Linked DNA regions of Lepisosteus oculatus. The protein of the gene in region 3 interacts with the protein of the main gene of each other region in a pairwise test. Links are inferred from orthologs where the notes say so. Each region holds a gene or a part of one and is shown on either strand. Other genes may lie near its edges.

Region 1 (7,798 bases), on a different chromosome or scaffold from region 3:
TGTGGCTACAGGGAACTATTGTGGCCTAAGGCAAACAGGAGCAGAGAAGTACTCACATGTTCACTGGACTCTCGGCAGCCAGAGCCACAGCAGAGTCCAAGTGGATCTTGTACGCTCTCCCATGGACCTGCAGGAACTGGGCCGGGTCCTTTTTCTGAAATCACAAGACTCCGGTAACTCTCACAGTAGAGTATAACACTGCCAAACAACTCCCCAAGGGACAAGTGGAAACTAGGGGCTTAAGGGAAAAAAAGTTCCTGCTTTTGAATGTTCCTGAAATCCATTTTTTTTTTACACAGTAATGTTCCCGTTAATAATAATAATAATAATAATAATAATAATAATAATAATTGCTCACACTTATATAGCGCTTTTTCTGGACACTCCACTCAAAGCGCTTTACAGGTAATGGGGATCCCCTCCACCACCACCAAGCTAAGTGTACAACAGTACTACCTGCCGGGCATTACTGCACCCCCGCCAGTGCCTTCAGACGAGTCAGATTACATCACTCCCATGTGGTTAATTAATCATTTATCATCAATCTATCCCTGTTCTGCATAAACTACCCAACATGTTGCTTAATCAAACATTTGTCTGGTTGTTTTCTGAATGAAAGCCCCTGAGAAGACCAGGTGGAAAACACCAGCGCCTCGGGCAGGGGCAGGGCGAGCGCCAGCCGCGACCGGGCAGGGGCAGCTGGCCGCCCACAGGGCGGCTCCTGGGGGCCGCGGGCCAAGGCCCCGCTCCTCGGGCACGCCGACGGCTCGCTCACGATTTTCTCGTAGTACTCGCGCCGCCGCTCCGCCCGCCGCTTGTAATCCACCATCATGCCGCGCAGCTTGCGCTCATGCTTGCGGGCTTCGTGCCACATCCTGGCGCCGGGGCGGCCAAGCCCTGCTGCCGTGGAGACGGGAGGAGCCGGAGAGGCAGTCCGAGGGCAGCAGGAATCCCACAACACACCTGCACAGGGAGAAAGGATGCTGGGGGTGAAAAGGAGGCACAGTCTGCTGAGGGCCAAGGTGTTCTGGGCTCTGCCCCTGGGGCCACTGCAAGACAGCTGGCCGGGAGCAGGGGGTATTCATCTGCCCTCGGCCCAGGAGCCACAGGGCCTTGTCCAGGTCCTGAAATCAACCTCCTGTTCTCACAAATGTAGGCTTCCGGCAATAAGAGTTTACCGGTTCCTTAAAAGGTTGTAGCAGGGCGGAGCTGGTGGCTGCCCATGTGACCGCTATCACTTTTTAAGGGCTGCTTGCTCTTCACCGCTCTCCAGCCGCCCGCTCAGCCTTGCTCACGGCTTCTCGGGGGCTGAGCGGTTTCCCCTGGGGAATACAGCTGCCTACAATGGCGGCCGCACCCGGAGGAATGTGTCCGCGACACTCCTCATACTGCTCGCCTCTCTCCCTTCTCATGGGGGTTCCCGTCTAATCCCTGGCAAAACACACGAACGAAGCAGCGACACATCCAACACAGCCCCCGCGCAAGGGACTCTCCTAATCGCTCCTGTCCCTCCCTGATATGCAATCTCATCTACTGCTTTTGCTTAAAAATGGCATGATTAGAAACGCCTGCTTCGAATTCTTGCCCTAATAACATTTACTCACTTCGAACAGAAGTAATTTAAGGAATGCGGCGATAAATATTACAATTCCCCAACTGTTTATCTGTTTTTGTGGAATAAATAACAGCTGCGACCCCGGATCCCAATGGCGCCTGCACACGTACGAAATGTAGTCTTCTTCCTCCAACGTCTATGTTCCTTGAAAGGATTTTGGTTATGCTTGTCTGTAAGATATTTCGGGTCTTTCGATTTTTACCACCGGATATTCTTTGGTGTAAGATTTACAGAGTGCAATTAAATATATAAACACGTCGAACAGCCGTAACTGCACCCGAACTCCGATCGGGAGGCCATCACAACACACAGTCCTCCGGTATCCCGGCAACCACTTCCGAGGTCAAAGAGCAATGAGAGCGGAAGTGGAGGAAAGGGTGAACGGGAGTTGTGGTTTTAATATTTTTGGTGTATTTGAACAGAACTGCGGAGCTCGTTAATATTTTACCCTGCCTCCAAATGACACCAAACTGGTCCATTTCGGATATTATTGTGCACTCTAAGGAGAACATGACGTTATGCATCACATACCTGTGGCCACACGGATAGTAAATCACGGAATCACGCACACCCGCAGCCACGTGTCAGGCTGTTTCGTTGCGAAGCTGGACGCGGAAGCGAGCTCGTACAACCCGAGCTCCAGCAGGCGGCGGTGCAGGCTCTCGAACGAAAATGTATTGGAAGAATCTGTGTAAACAATCCGTTATGATATATTATTTCTCTTTCCCCTTTTGTCTTCTTTAATACTATTTAACCCGAAGCTTCAGTTAGATGTAGTTCTGTATTCTCCAGCACTGCGTGTTTGCAGCAGGAAACAGTACTGAACTCCGGAACAACACGACAAAGTCGGATTATGGGACACGAAGTTTATTCCATGCTGAAAAGAGGAGACAAGAAACACAACGTTTCGGCCGTGGAGGTGTGAGAAAGAGGATGGACTTTCTCTAAACGTTGTTTCTTTTCTTCCCTTTCCAGCATGGAATAAACCTTTACTTGTTCCCTTGCAGCCAACACATGCTGACGCAGCTCCCTACTTGAACTACTCACGGGACAAGACACGACAGTCTCCTGGGCTACGCCTTCTGTTTTTGTGTCTCTTTATTTTCTTAGCGGTATTTTCTCTTTCGCTGTGGCAGAATTGACGGGCGTGTTCTAAGCTACGGTTCCAGCCCTCGGTCTGTGGGGAAGTTTTAACACCCCTGGCTTTGCAGGAGCGCAGCGTCAGCTGGTGCCCGTCCCACCTGAGCACCAGCTCTAACCGATGACTTAACCGATCTGCTTCGTTGTTTAGATTTTTAACTTACTTCTTCGGTCAGTCCTGAGGGCCAAATACACCAAACTTCAAGTGTACTTTTCCCAGCAGCTTCAGGATACCGGCCTGTACGAAGGTTGGAACGACAGCGTATCAGACGGTTCGCCTTCTGCAGAGTCCAACTGGTCACATTCCAGGCAGCACACCGGAATCAGGGCTGTTCTGAAATTCACGCTCACTCTTGAGCAATCCCAGCCGTAGGACCTTCAAATGTCCCCAGTGTGGGCAGGGCCTTGGGTCAACAGCCCATGTGAAGTGCGGCCCCTCCTGTGGCACAGCACCCCCATTTGCAATACAGGGGTGCTGGTCTGGAATTTGAAGCAAGTGAGGAGAGAGTACCAGCACACTTCAGGCACTGCTGTACCCCCCCGCCTGCTCTGCGTGGATTTAATAATAACAAATTCTTTACACTTCTATAGCCTCCAGTCAAAGCACTTTACAGGTAATGGGGACTCCTCTTTATCAGTGTGCAGCCCCACTTGGATGATGCACCAGTCCGCTCCCCACACACCAGCTCTCAGTGGGGAGGAGAGCAGAGTGATGATGCCAGTTCAGAGATGGGGATTATTAGGAGGCCATGACTGGTAAATGCCAGGGGGAAATTTGGCCAAGATGCCAGGATAACACCCCTACTCTTTTCGAGAAACGCCCTGGGATTTTTAATGACCACAGGAAGTTAGGACCATGCTTTTACATCTCATGGCGCCTTTTTACAGTCTAGTGTCCCCGTTGCTATACTGGGGCATTAGGACCCACACAGACTGCAGGATGAGCGCCCCCTGCTGGCCCTACTAACACTTCTTGCAGCAGCAGCCTTAGCTTTCCTCGGGAGTCAGTCCCCTCCAGGTACTGACCAGGCTCACACCTGCTGAGCTCCAGTGGGCTGCTGGCTGTGAGCTGCAGGGTGAATCAGCTGCCGCCTGGTCTGGCCCCTCGCTCTCTGCAGCGAGAGCAGCAGGTGTTTCTGGAGCCCCTGTCCAGAGCAGGTTCATCTGAGGGCCTGCGAGGACGTGACTCGGACTCCTGGCAGGCATCTGCAGGCAGACGCTTCCTGCACCTCCCTCAGGACGGGCGGAGAGAGGAAGTTCGCTCATCACCTTTCCTGGTCGGCAGGGAAACCCCTCGCTGCCCACGTCACCTGGACCCCAGGCACTGCCAGCAAGGGCAGGGGTCATTGTAGAAACTCCCTTACAAACTATACCATGACTTAATGACTCATCTGTAGAGGTCTTAGGGAGCAAATTCTTTGGAAACATTGCGCCTTAGTACACCCCCTCGTGCTTCACTGAGCTTTACTGAACAGTTTTTAGCAGGACGAACCACAGGAAACAGCAGTAAGACCTGTCCCCCCATGGTTAAGTTGTTTTAGTGAAGAAAGAGTTCTCCAAAAATAATATATGTAGTGATACAGGCCTTTGTAGGTGTAACCGCCAAAAAAACAAGTGCTTTTTATTTCCTTCTGGCAGTACAAGGGATGCTTGGCAGAAGACAAAGCATAAACAAGGATTTAAGTGAGTCAGTACAAGCACTTCAATTAGTAAGGCCCAGAAGCAGATTGAACTGGTGCTGCTTAGGAAAAGCTTGTCTGTGGCTGGTGCCCCGCCACCTGCTTTTTCCATCTTCCTTGTAGTTAACCCTGGCCAGGGTCCAGGGCTCTCCACTGTGGTTCCCCGTAGTTCACAGCAGCAGCCTGGAGTCTCTCTCGCTCTGTCAGCATGGGGTTGGGGAGATGCCCCCCTGGGGTGGCCTGTCGGGGTCCCAGCACACACAGACACAGGCTGCACTCTTGGTGTTAAACAAGTTTTAATTACTGTTCGCACCGGTTGGCCATCACGAGAGACACAAGGAAAAAGGGCAGAGATGAACCAAAAACTCTCAAAGATTTCACGGTACAAAAATGGTCAATAAAAGACAAAATATAAATATGTACACTATATACAGCTGAACTATTTACAGACAAGTACAAAAATCATACATCTTTTACAAGCATGAACGTGCCGCCTCAAAGGGGACAATATCCTTTTGTCATCTACTAACTACCAAACGAGCTGGATGAGCTAGATTATTTTCCCTTATTAGTAACCTTTCTAGGTTGCTTTTTGCCATTGTCTTCAGCTCCTAAGGGCATTTTCCCAAGGGCAATGGGGTCCTCAGGTTGTCATTCCATCTGAGCAGATAATTAGTTAATTGAACCACTAATTTTTCACTTAACTGAGCGCTTATCCCCAGGCCTAAAGAGAAATAGCAAACCACTGAAACACAGACCAGAAGACACAAGTGGAGCCTATGTGGACCTGGATTTGAAACCGAAAACAGCAGGCGCTTCTTTACGAATTGTGGGAGTGTGGAACAAGCTTCCAGCCACTGACATAGACGCTACCCTGGCTTCCTTCAAGGAACTGCTGGATAAGATCCTCAGGTTAGCTACTAACTTCCAAACAGGCTGGATGAGCTGAGTGGCTCCTCCTGTTTGTGACCAACCTCATATTCTTAACCCCTCAGGGACTGTGGCTCCTTGAGAAACAGAGCTGAGGAACAATCGCAGAAAACCTCCATCAGACAGGACTAAATCACCTCCCCGTTCTCCACCCCACAGCCTCTCAGGGAAGGGGTCAGTCAAACTGGCCAGTGTGTACTGTCCAGCTGTGGTCAAGAGGTCTGTCCTCCAGCCTGTCTTTCCGACACTACAGAAATGTAACTCATGCCCCGATGCAATGAGCTCTTAAGACCCCCGATCAGTAACGCAATCTGGAAGCTGCACTTTGTTAATGTTGGGGTCCCCACTGCACCCCCCGTCACTTCCTCTTCTCTCAGGCGGGGTCACAGGCCCTGTTCAGTGGGACCATAGCCCAGTTCTGGTTCAGAACCTCCAGGGGTCTGGTGAAAGTGGGTGTACAGAGATACAGAGCAGGGAAGGGGTTATGGAGAGCCCACCTGTGCTCAGCAGGATTGGTGGAGGGCAACTGGTCTGGCACAGTGGAGTCGTGTTTGGCCTAGGCTGTAGTTTGATCTGGTGGATGTCTATTGCAAAACCATATCTAACAAAAGTGGCCGAAATATTTCGTTCTCACGCTTTTGACTTATTTGTAAATTAAAATTCAAACGGATTACACACATGTGAAGTAGAGAGTGCTCTTTAGCTGTGTAAAGGGTATAGGAGGGACACATATAGGAGTTGCACTGCAATGTCAAGACACTTCTGACTCAGGTCTGCGCAGCACTGAACTATGTCCCCACAGGACTTTCTCTAGCTTTGCACATTCTCTCCAGAAGGCAAAACACATTGAACAAGACATTTAACAAGCAGAGTATGAATCAGATTTACTGATAACATTGCTGGATGTACTGTATAGATTTCTCTACCCACGCAACAGCTGCTCAGAAGCTTTTATACGAACACCAGGTGCAGCTCTATCGTTAAAGGACCTGTCAAAACACACACATATACACAATATTGCCTTCATTGACATGAGAAACAAACAAAAAAAAAACAACACAATACTTTATTCTTCCAATAAAGGAAATGCGATTAGTTTAACAGCTGGAATGAGAAGTTCAATGCTGACCCTCACATCACTGCCTCCATCAAAAGGAAGGAACCTTCATAGTGGCAACAGGGCAGAGCAGGTGCACCGATACCCAGACACGCCAAAGAGAGGCCTTCTTCTCTCAGGCTCTCAGGCTCTCAGGCTTATGTCAAGAGTTCCAACTCAGGGGGAAAATGCCACAAGGGTTGAGGTGTGGGAGTCAACAGAGCTGTGCAGCAGTTCGCCCCCTCTTGGGCAATCAAGGCTCACGATCTCCAGCCTCCTCAGCAGCCAAACCCTTCACTCCCTTCCCTCGGGGGCCTAGCAAGGCCTGCAAAGCCTGGGAGCACGGGTGGCCGCAGTGGCAGACGGACAGAAGCCGACAGGCGGGGCGGGCCTCACACTTCCACCTCCTGGCTGTCGGAGAAGTGGAAGCGGTTGAGTTTCTCGCGCTCCCGGTTGGAGATGTCGAGCTTGGCGCTGCTCCTCCTGGGCTTCTTGGTTTCTGGGGTGGGCGGCAGGCTCAGCTCAATCTCCTCACGACAGCGGGGCACTGGGGGAGGGCCGCCCAGGTTCCGGATGAGGGTGACGCACTCCCGCTGGTTATTGATGCCCTCGTCCTGCCCGGCGTGCTGGCGCTCCTTCCTGCGCCTCCGGAGCTGAGCCAGCAGGTAGATGCACAGCGTCGTTCCCACTACCAACATGGCCAGCAGGACGACCATCACCACGTACAGAGTGCTCCCGGAGCCTGGCACGGCAGAGGCGCAGAGAGCACCGTCAGGCACAGGCACACACAACCCCCGGTGCCCACAGCCAGACTCCCACACAGAGACAGAGGTGACACCCACACAGGCCGATACACACAACCAACACCCACAGGCCAATATACACACAATTAACGCACACAGGTGATACACACACACTATTAACACACACAGGCGATACACACACAGCTAACACACGCAGGCCGATGCACACACAATCAACACACACAGGCCGATACGCACAATCAACACACACAGGCGATACACACACAGCTAACACACGCAGGCCGATGCACACACAATCAACACACACAGGCCAATATACACACAATTAACGCACACAGGTGATACACACACACAACTAACACACACAGGCCGATACACACACACTATTAACACACACAGGCGATACACACACAGCTAACACACACAGGCCGATGCACACACAATCAACACACACAGGCCGATACGCACAATCAACACACACAGGCGATACACACACAGCTAACACACGCAGGCCGATGCACACACAATCAACACACACAGGCCGATACGCACAATCAACACACACAGGCGATAC
Region 2 (7,505 bases), on a different chromosome or scaffold from region 3:
AGCTCACAAATAATGAGTCACACTGGGCTGCAAAAACAATTCCCCCCCCTGGAATTCTCCTACATTCAGAACAAGTCCTGTGCATTCACATTAAAGCAGTAATTTGGGACCTCTCAGTATCAGTAACATTTTAAATTTCAGTCTCGTTATGACAGCATGAGCAACTGATTCCTTTATCCTTTATTGTAGGAGCTATCCAAGCATGAATGCAGCACATGGCGAAGTCATTAAATGTTTTAATAGATGTTAACTATGTGATAATGGTTTTCAACAAAGCTAGGAAAAAAGTGAAGTTTAAATTTTAACAAGTAAGTTACAAAAAAACTCAAAAGGTACAACACAGTTAAGTAGAATCTATTGCTACTTACTGCTGTTTGCAATCGCAATAGATTCTCTAAATCAAGATAATACTCTCTTTTCATAGCAATAGAAATATTTATCTGTGAGCAGTCTTTGCTTTCCTGGAAAACTGGCAAAGCTGGAGACCACTGAAGCATCCCCATGATTTTATAATAACTTCTCAAGGTTTAGGAAACCATCTCAGTCATGCATGCTGCTTATTTATCCACTAAGTTAATGCCTGAATGTGTTCTCTCTACTAATTCATCGAGAATGTGAAGGCAGAGGAACATGCCAGGCGCTTCCAGGTTGCTGCTTCAAAAAGGATTTTCATTGCTGGCCACACTTCAGTGTTTGATTGGCAACCCACACCTCGTCCACTGTCTCAATCAACGTTTCAACTGAAATCTGCAGCTTGGAAGGCTAATTCAAGGTCTGAAAAACTACCACAGGGTACACAGACGAAAGAAAAAATAATCATAACCCCAAACACCTCTGCAACATAGACATTGGTCAACAAAAGTTGTCCAGCTTATTTTTAATGGTAACAGAGGGCAGGCCCATTTGATTTTTATACTAGAAAATAAAAGTAGGAAAAGAAAAATAAAATTGATTTTCACTGAATGATTTTGTAACCGAACTAAAGGTACTCTAGCTGCAGACTCCTATTAATTCACCGGTAAATATTAATTCCTTCCATTTATTAATAAATTACATAAAATGCTATATTTACATTTCATACTGACTGTATTCAAACTTCATTAGTTACCAATGGGTTGGATGAAAAGAGCAGAAACTATAAATTATTCACTTCATAGGATTTCTGTATATATGAGGTAGGAAATCCAATCGTAACATAATTTCAGCTTAATTACTACAGTATATCATGCTTCAGTTAGGCATTTATCATCTTTTTTGATTATTTTGATTCATTGTTAGGTATGATCACCCGGGGCTATTTCAGTTTCTTATTTAAAAGTATTTAATTTTTTGCAGCCTAGCTGGACCACAAATCTATGCACTGTACTTGCTACTGTATCTCTGACTGCCATTTGAGTATCTCTGTGTTTTGGAATAGCTGGGGCTACCAGTTGAAATGAAGGACAGAGCAGAAACAGAAGCAGAGGCCACACTGCACTGATGATGCCGGACTGCAGCTGCTTGTTTCTTTATGGGGCAGCAGAAAACCCTTCCTGACTTCCGCTGTCCTGTTATCTGTGTGTGTGTGTCTGTTACGCCACTACTGTATTTCAGCTGAGGCTGCTCTCTTTCCTAATCCGACATCCATGTCATCTCCCATCCCCGGGTCATGTGGAGCCACTGACGCTACCAGAGAGTGGAAAGAATTCAAATTTGGGACGTTCTGAATAACAACATGGACACCTGTGGGAGTGAAGGGCTTGTCAAATTCAAAACCAGTACTTCATTCCTCTGGGAAAAAGAACCCAAAGGGCTTTCTCCTTGTCCAACAGGTATGGTGCTCCCCGTGAGCACCTGTTCATTTTCAGTCCAGTTATAAGACATATTTATTTGTGCCAGTTGATAAGTGTTTTTTTTTTATAAAATGCAGTGACAATAACACATTGATTTTTTCAGTGGATCAAGCCTTTCCCTCACGTGACTGCACTCAGCTTCCAAGAAGCTTCTCAAGGCTCTCCATAGTGGTGTTTATAGCTTTACAGCCCTATAAAAGGAAATTTGAGAATAATGGCCAATAGATTTATAAGCTGAAGAGGCCTACATTTGGGAAAAGCTAACGAAGGAGCTTACGATCTGTATATGCCCCTGTGTTCTTTCAATAATGAACTGGCACTTGGGACTGTAAAATTATTAAAACAAGCTGGGCCAGCGAGCTCAACAGTAAGCTATCACTTATGCGCTTGCTTGATTTGTCTCCAGGCATCATATGGAGAGTTCATCAAACACAGATAAAAGGCACAACTGAAAAAAGGGGACGATGCATGGAGTTATGACAAAGCCCAGAATGCATCCCAGACTTTGACAACTCTCGCAACATGTTGAGCTTGCTCAGAACAAAAAGCAAGTAAATGCTATAGACGAAATGTGAAAAGAGTTCAGAATCCAAGGAAAACGTATTACAAATCGGGGAAAATGTGTTACAGCTGTTAAACTCTTCAAAGAGAAAGACTTAAAATGAAAAAAAGCCTCTTGGACTTCTTTTCTTTGGCAGCTCCCACTCGCTCTTCATTAACGCAAGTGGACAATTTATGAACTGTGCCACGCAGCGCGCACACTGAAAATAACACAATCTTTAGGAAACACAGGCAAAAACGCAGCTGTCAACAGTGTACACTGACACAAAAGGTGAGTCAGGTATGCAATCTCTCCAAAACGTCTGTCTTTATCATTCAAATGAATACTGAGCGCAGTCGGAATAAAACCAATTGCTCTGTGCTTTCCACATCGGCCGTCCTAACATTCCATTATGGTCGACACAATCTTCTCCCCAGCCGACACCATCCCGATGGCAGGATATTAGTATATGCCAGAAAATGCAGCCTTCATACTTTAACAGGGAGAAGCCAAACTCAGCATCCATTTATTATAGGAAGCGTTAAAGTTTCATGCTTTTAAATATTAAATATTAATTTCGAATGCAAAAAAAAAAACTTACTTGACACCGTCTCAACAGCTCTCTCTCTGTGCGATCTGGCAAAACCAGGCCTGTTTTAGCATTTCCTTTGTGGATGCCAGGAACTGAAATTATATTCCTTCCCTTTTAAGGCTTTCTCAACTCTCCTGGCTCAAAGGCAGACATTTAACGGACTGCTCTGGGCTTCCAGCAAGACGGCTGAGCTGTATTTACTCCCTGATCGCGGTTTAAGAAGAACACAATAATAAATGATAAATGAGAGACTGTCCCCTATGCAAAGCAAGATGGCTTTGTAAAAGGGCTGGGATTTTTCAACCCCTCACTGTTTAGTTTCAGACCTGAAACTAATACTATAAAAAGCTCTATCACTCTGCAATAAACAAAAGACAGGTCTTTAATATACTGTATACTATGTGCATATATATATCTGAAAAATGCCACATTTTCTAAACAGTGTGCACTGTCATCAAGTGCACATGGGCAGAGGTCATAGTTACACACCTACAGTATAAGCAAACCTGACTTGAGGAGCTACTCAGGGCTTTTCTAGGCAGCCTGGCTGTGAATGCTGTCATGCCAGAGGTAAGGTACTGTACATTAAAACCCACTTCCCTGAAGCTGTGCAGAGAGTTCATTTGGCAGAAATGAGCCCAAAGAAATGAGAGATGGAAGTCAAATACAGTACATGGCTTTAGTTCAGACTAAAAGAAAGCTCTTTGGTATTTTGCATCCCTGGAAAAAATATATTCACTAAGGAGTTTATTTTGCATTTTCATCTTGCGGTGCTTAGGAGTATTTCTTTTTACAGTCGTGTTAAAATTGTGAAGTGGTGATTTTTTTGTTTTATTTTGAAACACGTTTACCCCTTTTTCCCCAAACATGACTGACTGAATTGTAGATTTAAATTCTTATTGTATTAATTCTGTATCTTCATTCCCCTTACTTAAACAAACTTAGAGGGATGAATCACTTTTCTGACCGGCCAGCTTAGAGCTCCTTGATATACAGTATTTGCCGCAATGGAGAAAATAAAAAAATCAATTAAATATCTAATAATATATTAACTGATTCGATTTAGAAACACATCACAGTGAAAAACATCCTTTAACGTACCCCAATTTTTTCTTCTCTTTATTCTTACAAATTACTATACCAGCAAGAAATCTGAGACAAATTTAGAAATCAATTCTCTTAAAAATAAACAAACGACCTCGGCCATGACTTCTCCTGGATTGTCAAGGAAAACATCTCCCCAGCCTCTTTTTGAAATAAGATGACAAGCATCAATTACAAAGTCAATGGAGCTCCAACAGACTCAGTGCCCAGAATGGGAGACAAAGCATCACTGCCTAGTGACATTTTGCATTTATTAATTTATTTTTTGGATATTTTGGCAAGAAGAGAGCAGAGAGCTTTAAGTATTTTTGGCTCACTTAGTATTAACTTTTCAATCTTTAAAATATGCCACAAAACAATAAGCAGAGATAAATAGTGTATTTGGCATGGTTAGCAAAGGAGCATGTTCTTTTTTTCAAATGTGTTTTCACCAGATTTTAGTATACTACTTAGGTATAAAATCAGGCTGCATCTTGTTAGTAAAAAAGTTAGAACACTGCAAAAAAGATCATTCTTTTAATACAATGCAGTTACATGGTATGAAGACACAACAAAGAAAAGAGTCCATGCTGAGCTTTGGCAACCATCTGTTCCCCACAGTTTCCTCACCCTAGAGCATGCTTTTATAATTTTGTGATCTTTTTAAATTTAATTTAGAGCTTTACACACAATGCATGTGTGAGAGTGGTGAATTTAGTGTTCTGAAAAAATGTCTTTGTTTCATTTAGAAATCTATTAGAGAGATTATAATGCTTTTTGCAATTTTGGGCTCTTACAGTATGTATATTATTACACAATATTACATGAGGCATTAGTTTAGAAAGAGGACCGAGGGCAGGTTGAGTTCGATGGTCACAAGCTGACTGTGACTGGGATTCCACTGGAGGCAGTGTGCAAGTCCTGGCAGTCAGTGAGAGTCGCACCTCTCCCCCTGCAGGGGGCAGCGCTGACTGTGACGTGATCAGACTTGAGTGGCAGGAAGTTGGTGGGGTTGGGGAGTGTGTCTGCACTCCCTCATTCTCCCCCGTGTGCGAATACGGGTTCGAGACTCATCAGCGGAGATGCAGCTCCAGCATGGGTGCCCCTATTCTAGGGACTGTTTTCAGAGTAACATGTGTTTGAGTGCATTTGGGATCATACAGACAGAAGACAGCCTGTGATAAAACTGAAAAACATTAAAATGTGCACTATCCTACTATAAAAATGTTTAATGTTAACGTTAGTCCTTTTTTTCTATTTGGATACCTAGTCCAAACAACAAGAATCTCATGGTATTTATTATCTGGGATCAGGACAGTAAATGTATTTTTATTTGAATTACATGCACGAAGAGTATAACAATTGACTGTATATAAGCAGTTTCCTGTTAAGTTAACACCTTCATGCAGATCAAAAAGAAAACAAGTTTCCTGATCATGACAATACCAACAACTGAGACAGGGTATTGATGTAAATTCTGAGAGCTGTTGTCCATGAAAACAATACCAATAAAAGAAGAATATACTACAGCAAACTATAACTACTTTAATCCACCTGATGAGCAATGTGTCCCCTTTTCTAATGAGTGTATTTTCCAACTCAAATATCCAGTGAATTGCATTTGGATTGTATATCACACAAACGTGAAAGGTCATGATGCCAGAATGACCTGAAATCAACAGTATCACCCTTAACTATCTAAGGTAGTTCAACCTGCCTAGAATTCTAAAATGAATACTCTTTTGTTTAGACTAAGCAACTTCACACTTGAGTAACTTTGAGTTTTTTACTTTGAGTAATACGATTCATATCAAATTAGGGCTTTAGCTTGAAAAAGGTAAGGCAGCAGTCTTTAAGTGCAGATGTTATTATCATCATTATTTCCTGAGCAGATGCCCTTACCCAGAGTAACTTACAAAATATACAATACATGTATTGCACATATAAAAATATACAGCAAATAAGAGAAAACCCTAAAAACCACAAATGTTAATAGAAACAGAGCGGGGAGGCAGAATGAAAATATCCACTGACACACTGACAGTACTAACAGTTTCCCAGTGCAGTACGAGAAGTCAAACTCGCTGTAATGCAAACATTTAGATGAATGAGCATTAACACAACAACCACATATCTACTGTACCGTACTGTATGTGCCTTAGTTTATTATTATTTGATCTGATATTTACTCATCATATAAATGGTTAAGAGTACAGCTATAGAGGTATATGGATTAACCATTGTTTGCGATTCAAGTAATATTTTTTTTTAAAAAAAAGGAAAAGCAACACAGAGATATTTAAACAGTGAAGAAAACATCCCTGACAAATCCAGGATTCCCTCAAGAAGCTCTTCCCTTGGACAGAAACACACAGGTACAGTACATATGGTCTGCAGTCAGATCAAACCTGGCTTTTTGGATGAACAATCCATCAAGCTGGCAGTAATGCTTTGCAGATGCTCAGCAACGCAAACCAGCCTCAGTCCTGCAGAGGGCTGAAACACCCCAGATCTGCTGACCTCGCCTCACAGGTGCGATCAGGTTGTCATAACGTCTGAATAACTTAACTTCAAGGTATGAGTTCCACCTCATGGTGACCAGAAACTGTCCACACCTATCAGGCATCTCCCAGTGAGTGGCACACTCATTATACCACCGAACAGTCCCACAAGAAGGTGGACTGCAATTTTCTGTCTTCATTTTCTTGAAGCATTCATTCCCTAAGCCCAGCAGATTCAAGCTACTTAACAGCTACTTAAAACCTTACAATTAAATAGCAGAATGACAAAATGACAGAAAACAGTTTTAAAGTTATGACAGAATTATTAAGGTATTGCATTGTACATTAAGATAAAAAACAGTATATGCAACAACCCAACTATAATTTCATAAGGGTTAAAACCCAGACATTTGATTATCTATGAATATATTAAATCACGGTAGCTAATATTGCTAGAAACACTATTAATAAGCAAAGTCTTTTTAGCATTATTACAATCAGATAAGATAATATCACTTTACTGACACATAATAAGAGACAATAGAGACACACAGACAGGGAGAGAAGCTGGGGGTCAGAGCGCAGGGTCAGCCATTTATACAGCACCCCTGCAGCAGTTGGGGTGAAGGGCCTTGCTCAGGGGCCCAACAGAGAAGGATTCCTCTGCCGGCCGCGGGATACGAACCAGCAACCTTCCAGAGTGCAGAGTCATAGCCCCAGAGCCACAAAGCTCACACATATTAATGTGCTTCATTTTGTGCCAAGGTCCATCTGTATTCTGTGCTAAATTGTTCACGTACCTGTAAGCTCTGAGTTACCCTCTACAGCAACAGGCTCTCCTGAAACTAGCCTCTGCATTTCTCATTCAAGAGACACAAAGACTGCACTAAAATAGACCCTTGTTTACAAGGGCTCAATGAAGGCAGCCATCCACTTAAATTTGGATTTAATATTAC
Region 3 (7,561 bases):
CCTCAATGCTAAGCGAAGAGCAAAGGGTGACTCGGAAATATATAGCCCCACACAAGGACACACTGGAAGGACAAGAAAAGCACAGGGAAACTAGGAACAGGACAGAGTAGGTGTCCTCTGGACGTTGAAGGCGTGACAGCCATATAATTTCAGTGGACATTAAACAACAATCTTCAGTTGACAAAGACATTTAATCATTTTCCATGAATAACAGGTGTTAGGAAGTGAACAGTGTGTTTAACTATATTTTTTGTTGTCTACTGTTCAAATACATGTGTATAAATGAGAGTAATCCAGATATTGTATGAGATAAAGTGCAAATAGACTAATTTTAAAAAGCTTTGTTTTCATTTCTTAAGACAATACCTCAATTTAATTAAACAAAAATGAAAAATTGATGAAAAGTTAATGATTTTCTTTAATATACAAAAATACATAACCTATACCAAAACACAAGAACTGGATTGAGTGCTCTCTAATATACCATTCACAGTGATTACATGTAATACCAACATAAAGAAATGCTTTCTGTGAGCATCTATCTGATAAAGATTCAACGTACTAAAGAACCGTTGAATTACTAAGGGATTTCCTGTAGAGTTTTCTCTACTGGAAATATATATATATATGATGAATTAATTTTAATTTTAATCCTTAACTAATACAACAGTATATTTTTGCAGAACATCTCAATCTGTTCCAATGTAATGGACATGCATTACATCAACAGCTAAACATTGTATTTTTCAGCATGAATCAGGTAATTCACTTTTTAGTATATTAGTATCAGCCTCTGTCGTAAATGTGGTTCAGTCACTAAACATCAGCTGCTGATCTGTATTCAGAATACACATCTAAATTAGCACATTAATAGAAAAATAAATATATAAATAATGCTTCTGAACTACTGTATGTTGCCTTGCAAAACGTAAACCAGCTTGAAGGCTGCCATACAAAGGAATGAAGTGCAGTAGTGAAAATAGAAATAAATCAATAAAAAAGAAGGCGTTATATGCAGGATTTTATCATATTTTAATAGTAATAATGTCAGTAAAACTGAGTGACCTAACCATATTTCACACCGATTATACAGGTATATCTTAGCTTAAGAATTTTTGTTGTTGTATAAAAACAGTCAGGCCACTACATATACTGTACATGCATTCAGTTTTAGAAGTGAAATATTCCAAATCATTAAACAAGGGAGAGAAGTACAGTACATGTATCATATTTATTTTGGGCTGTGAATATTTCTTGCAATTTCCATTGTGATGTAGTACAATGCGTCCCTTATGTGTCTTTTGAATTGCAGGCAGTTGAGCAATATTTCAGACAGCTGATGCATAATAGCAGCACCAAAGGCACTTGCAAAACACAGCACACTGCAGTTCCACTTCAAATAATTCCAAAAATCAGCAGTGTACTGTCTCTCTGAAAAATACAAGTGACCCAAGTTGTAAAACCTAAAGAGGATGTCTGCAGTAGTAAGGCACATATATAAAACAAAATCTGACAAACCCTTAAAAGCTGTAGTCTGTTTGACTTCCTCTTTGACTTCCTCTTCTCCATTGTTTTTCAATCAGTAATACAGTACATATGCTTATGTAGAATGTCGTCTAATTCCTTGTACAATCAGTGAGGTAGAAAAAGAGGATAATTTTAACACACAGCAAGTTTAAAGGACATACTATGACTGGCAGTTTAGCCAAAGAACTGGTCTAGAGCACGTACTCCAGTTATATTACTTTCCTTACAGCCCTTTGCTGACTGACACAGACACACATGCAAAAATGGGGCACAGACAGTGCTGTCACACTTCAGGATTGAACTAAAGCTTCACAGCAGGTACAATATAATGACAAGCCCCTTTTAAATGTGCTCTTTCAGAAATAAGAGTTAAACTTTTACAGGAATAACTATTTGCATTTTGATTCCATCTCACACAGAATTCCTTTTGAGCTGTTTGCCTCAATGGAAAAGAACTGTAATCTTTTGCATTTATCCTTGTACAAATACATACATACTTAGGGCGTTTCACCCCTTTAAACTCCATTTAGATCTTATTATTAGCCACTAACTGAAAAAAGACATCCAAGATCTGTGATACTTGTAACAGGGGTGTATTAAGCAAATGCATACACCTGTAGAGAGATTGATAAGACAAAGACTGACATACAGTAAAGGTTGATATTTAAACACCAAGATGGACTGCAATTTTATTGATGGAGAGCTTGTCTTGAATAATCAATGTAGTACTTCAATATTTATCTTAATCCTCTTTATGGAATTAGAAAATCAATTTAATAAAGATATGAGAGACATGAGGAAAATGAATTAAAGTACATTTTATAGTTTAGTGAAGCTAGTCTAAGGTTTTGATGCCCCTGTATGTGATCATATCCCGAAGTACTACACATACAGAGGAGGAGTACAGCAGCAGTAGAGCTGGAATTGATGACAAACTGTCTACTGTCTGTATCCAAGCAGACCCATTGCATTTTCCATTCCATAACATAAACCTCTAAAAAAACACAAACACAAAAAACTTGGAATTAATAAGGCTGAAGTGGGACAAATCACCACTCACAGAGACAGATGCCTAATGCAGCTGTGTTCCAAGGTACTCCTGCAATAGCCTTCTCAATGACATTTTACTGACTGGAACGCCCAGGGTTTCCCTCCCTGCACTCCTGCAATGCAATGAAAAGCAATGTGATAGACAAATTCTCTTACCTTGAGCTGGTGTGCAGCTGTCCCCCATACAGACCCCCTCACTCCCTCTGGCGTGACTCCCACCTGAAGAGTCCTATTCCCTTTGACTTGTCCCACTCCAGAGGCTAAGCCTTTCTGTTTGGAGAAGGTAGACCCCCTTCTTTTTGGGAAGCCTGCCTTGCAAAGTGGTATCCGAGTAGGAAAAATCCTCAGCAGCTCCAATCCAGCTTCAGCAAACACCTACAGTCACAGCAATAGCGGCAGCAGCAATCTGCAGGCCACATCGTTCATACCTTATACATCACTACCACATTCCTCCTAATAGCAGATCCCTCCACCCCTCCCCTCTCTCCCATACCCTCCACCCCTCCTTCCCCGGTATCCTTGGCAATGAGGATTTTCACAGGCTTAAGGAGGAGTAAGGCATGGATGAATTGATTTCCAGAGGCAGTACGTCCTTATCAGTCTCCTGCTAAGCACTCAACTAAACAGCCCCATCAGAACTGCATTGTTAAAAAGGAATAAATATATAATATATAATCCATAGAATACCACACATTCCTGTAATGTATTTAGAGCATAATGCATGTATATCATATCGTTTTCTTTCTTTCCCTACTCATTAATTCACCCTCAAATGTGTATTTAGAGAAGAAAATCATTCTGGACCATCAAGTAAATATGGTAGACAGCACCGTGCAATTGTTACATTAAATTCAGTTTGCATAATGCAGCATTAATAACTCAAGCAGGAGTGACCATTTGGTTTATATCACTGGGAATCTATTTACATAATCAGCATAAGCAATTATGATTCAAACATCTTGCCACAAGTTAGGTCTTCGAATACCTGCCAATAATATTTTTTGCAATGCAATGGTTCAAATAGGTATGCAGGATGACTGCTAGAACATTCAGAGAGCAAATGCTCATAGAGGTTTATTGTGTTACATAAGAAATAACCATGTTAATACATTAGTTGGCATATAATCAGAGGTGTGATTTTTTTTTACATTAGTTCTGCGGATATTGGGGGGTATGGTATCTTACATATAACATGTCAGATCCTTTAATTCCTTGCTCATCACCTCTGGCACGAACTTTGTTACAGTAACAGTGTTCACATGTGCTTTGTAAAAAGACAGTAGAAAGATCACTCCATGGAAAGTCCTTTGCTTCACATTACTGATTGTTTACAAGAGTGTCTCTAAATAAACACTTGACATTGCCAACAGAAAAGTTTAGATATGACATTTGAAGGTGTCCAACCAGTTTCATAGACCTGGTGTGACAAATTTTTACTTTCCAGTGAAGAACTTCAAAATCAAAACCATCATTACTTCAAACTACAGTGTGTCAACAAAATATTCAGGCCCTTGTTCAGTCTAAAATTTATTACCTTTAAACTTGCAGTCAAGTTACTTTTAGAAGTTCTTAATATTTGTTGTATACTTAACACACTCCACAATTTCAAACCAAAAATTAAAAGAGCATGTAATGCAGTAGCTGGATACAGCTGCATGGGTGGTGATTTGTCAGAACCCAAGTACAGGAGACCGGAGACTGAAAAGTAAAAGATGATAATGAGAATTAATTACTGGCCAATGGGGCTAATCAGCCCAGGTCAGTTAGTAATGGAAGAAATCATCGATCCTAGGAGAAGCCAGGCTAACCACATCCCTGCTGAAAAGAAAGGCTACTGATTAAAGCCCTTTGGAGGGAGTCTTGGGTATGGAAGGGACCCCAATACTGGATCCCTGAAAAGGAACTGAACTGGCTTAGAAGGCAGCCCTCAAAGGCCAGGGGTGCAGATCGGAAAATTTGAGGGTTGAGGTGATGAGCAGTGAAAAGAAAAAGTGAAGTTAAAAGGTACTGGCTAGAATAGAGACTACCGCCTCAGGTGATGCAGGGTAATTGTGAGCTTCCTTGGAAAGGAGCTGGACAGATAGAAGGGCCGACTTGAGGCCGGGGGTGGGGGAGGGAGATGGCAAACAGAAGGGATACAAAGTTCTGAGCTTGAACAGAGGCAGCTCTAAGCAGAGGAATGGAGGTACTGTGTAGAGACATTTTAATACTTGAGAGAAAGGAGCAAAGAAACCTGTCTGGTGAGTAGTTAATGAACAAAGGGGAACTACAGCCTACAGGAGGACTCCCGATATAGCCCAGATGTATACTGGGGAAATTGGACTGTGTGGCATCCCTCTTCTATGTGTTGCTGTACTTCTCTGTACCATTTAGACCTTCTAACACCCTCTCCTCATCATCTGAAAGGACAGCAGACACTCAGGAAATCATTATGATGCTTGGAAGTACCTTTTTGTTGCTGAGAATGCTGTTTTCTTTGGGTCTTGGAGTAATAGTAAATGTTGTTGTGCTTAGAAAATAAAAAGGGAACTTATATGATACTAATGTTTGTTGCTGGTTTGTGTGTGCATTGGTGATTCTGGGATATGAATAGAACCTCTGGTTTAGTAGAGCGGTCCTAGCCTCCTGTTTGTATTGCTAGGTGGTGTAGTCATATACGAGGCAGGAAATAATTATTGTTTGAGGGGTCACCTCATTGTGTCAAGAGCCCTAAAAAAAAGAAAAACAGACTTCAGGACGTTCATGAGGCACCAACATACTGTAAGTGCAGTCAAGACACAAATGTGGGGTGAGACAGAAGTGCAAGAGAACGTGCATGTGGAAAAATGAAGAGCAGCCCCTTGGCTTTATATAAAAAAGTGGGAATTGAATAATGAGCTAATTAACACGGATCACAAAAACATGATCTGGTCAGAGCAACAAACCCCTGGAAAACCATGAGCCCTTGTTAGAATATGATGGTTTTCCAGGGCAATCTCTAGCCGAAGGACGTCGTCATGACAGAGAGAAATAAAATATCTAATTAATACGAAAGAGAAATAGAAAAAGCCATAACTGCATTAGAATACAAATCATTGTTGTGTCAAACCTAAATTAATTTGTAACCAAATTAAAGAGCATATTTAGTTGAGTGACATCTGACGTGTATGATAATGTTTGCACATAACTCATAATTTCAGAATAAAAACATCAGGCTCTGTGAAGATTCTTGGTTAGGTAGTGAATTTAAAGCAAAGACTCAACCATGGAGACTAAAGAGTTTTTAAAGCAAGTCAGGGATAAAGTTTTTGTAAAACACAGTAAAGGGTACAGAAATATAGAAGTCTCTGAATATCCCTCTGAGAAAAGTCTACTCAGCCACTGAGAAACTGACAGTACCTTTTACCACTTAGATACTGAATTGATCAGGCTTTCCCTCTAAACTAAGTAGCTGAGCACAGTGGAATTAGGTTAGGCAAACCACTGTGATAGCACAACACTACCAATGACAGCTTTGAAAGAACTACAGAAATCAATAGCTGAAATGGGAGAAAATATGCTTGCTTTCACTGGAACACTGTGGAGTGATCTAGAGTTTGAGACGGTGGTCGGCCAAACTTCCACTCACCTGTCACTCAGTACTGGTAACAACAGAAACAGATTCTGACAGGCAACTTGTATCACCTGTGGGCAATTTAAATCCACATCTGCATCAGGTGATGCAGAATATCCAAGGTCAGACATTACTCAGGGCTCTGATATACTTGTCATGTCCACTGCTTAAGGTGGAATTAACCAGCAGCTGTGAGAGACGTAAGATGAACCCATGCACTGGGCGAAAGAGAGAAAAGTGCATAAGGAGAAGTGCAGGCAAATATGGTGCGGACAATTACACTGTGGTCAGATTGTAAATGGTACAAAGCTAGAGAGACAGTGAAAGCATAAATGGAATTCCACAATCATAATTGAGACAAGCAGGCATAGTTCATAGCACTGGAAATCACAGAAGCACAAAGGGACAAATCCACAGAATTGATCAGGTTGAAGCTAGAGTCAAGAATCCAGGAAAATAATAAACACAAAGTAACTCAGGAACAGAGCGAGGAAACAAAGCTGAGGTCAGAGCTAAACTCTATACCAGAGCCGTGAGTACTGTCCAAGCAGACCTTAAATATTCTGCACCACTTGATGTGGGTCTGGATGCAATTTGCCCCATGGTGATAGAGGTTCTTGTTGGAATGTGTTTCCTTGGTAACCGGCACTGAGTGACAGGTGAGTGGAAGTGTGGCCGACTCCCATGGCAAACTCTAAATCACTCATCTAGCTCTCGTTCCAGTGAGAGCAAACCTGACAGCTAAATTCTATAGTTTTGCAACAAAGAACCTGCAAGATCCTGCAAAAAGAACAGTAGTAAAAGGTGCTGTGGTCAGATGAGACCAGATTGGAACTTTTTGTGAAATAAATAAATATCAAGTATCAACAACACAACACATCTCCTAGTAAACACCATTCCTACAGTCAAATATGATGGTGGTATTATCATGTTAATGACATGATTAACTTCTGTAGGGACTTGAAAGCTTGTTAGGATTGAAGAAAAAATGGTTGGAGTAAAGTACAGGCAAATACTAAAGGAAAACATGTTTCAGTTGGCTAAATACTTAAAACTCTGATGGAAATTCACCTTTCAGCAAGACAATGATCTACAGCACGGCTATACTAGAGTGTCTTAAGAAAAAGAAAATGAATGTTCTTGAGTGCCTCAATTAAAGTCTTGACTTGAATCCTACTGAAAATCTGTGCAGACTTAAAAACTGCTGTCCATAAGCAATCTCTAAACAACTTAATAGCAGCTTAAGAAAACCTGAATAAATCTGTCAAGACAAATGGGCAAAAATTGGACCAAGACAGTTTTCAAAATTGGAAGATACTTACCTACAAGACTCATGGCTGTTGTTGCTGCTAAAGATGCTTCTACCAAATATTGAGATTAGGGATTGAAATT

What was found.
Region 1: the proteins of disabled homolog 1 (region 3) and clasrp interact in a two-hybrid assay, tested with the Homo sapiens proteins (2 studies listed by BioGRID and IntAct). The link is inferred for Lepisosteus oculatus from reciprocal best matches to the Homo sapiens genes DAB1 and CLASRP.
Region 2: the proteins of disabled homolog 1 (region 3) and mbnl1 interact in binary tests that used the Homo sapiens proteins (3 or more experiments, as listed by UniProt). The link is inferred for Lepisosteus oculatus from reciprocal best matches to the Homo sapiens genes DAB1 and MBNL1.

The regions. Positions count from the first base shown.
Region 1 is NC_090698.1:2,616,012-2,623,809, reverse strand, and holds the start of clasrp (CLK4-associating serine/arginine rich protein), read right to left. Parts: upstream 3,019-7,798; 5' UTR 2,920-3,018; intron 2,303-2,919; 5' UTR 2,187-2,302; exon of another isoform or gene 2,147-2,186; intron 1,938-2,146; exon of another isoform or gene 1,726-1,937; intron 1,710-1,725; exon of another isoform or gene 1,605-1,709; intron 964-1,604; 5' UTR 875-963; coding exon 776-874; intron 155-775; coding exon 57-154; intron 1-56. Other genes in the region: protein jagged-1b, read right to left, coding at 6,853-7,202. UniProt on the Homo sapiens protein: Probably functions as an alternative splicing regulator. May regulate the mRNA splicing of genes such as CLK1. May act by regulating members of the CLK kinase family.
Region 2 is NC_090708.1:2,857,999-2,865,503, reverse strand, and holds the start of mbnl1 (muscleblind-like protein 1), read right to left. Parts: upstream 3,019-7,505; 5' UTR 2,975-3,018; intron 1-2,974. UniProt on the Homo sapiens protein: Mediates pre-mRNA alternative splicing regulation. Acts either as activator or repressor of splicing on specific pre-mRNA targets. Inhibits cardiac troponin-T (TNNT2) pre-mRNA exon inclusion but induces insulin receptor (IR) pre-mRNA exon inclusion in muscle.
Region 3 is NC_090704.1:17,827,367-17,834,927, forward strand, and holds the start of disabled homolog 1, read right to left. Parts: upstream 3,007-7,561; 5' UTR 2,734-3,006; intron 1-2,733. UniProt on the Homo sapiens protein: Signaling adapter of the reelin-mediated signaling pathway, which regulates the migration and differentiation of postmitotic neurons during brain development.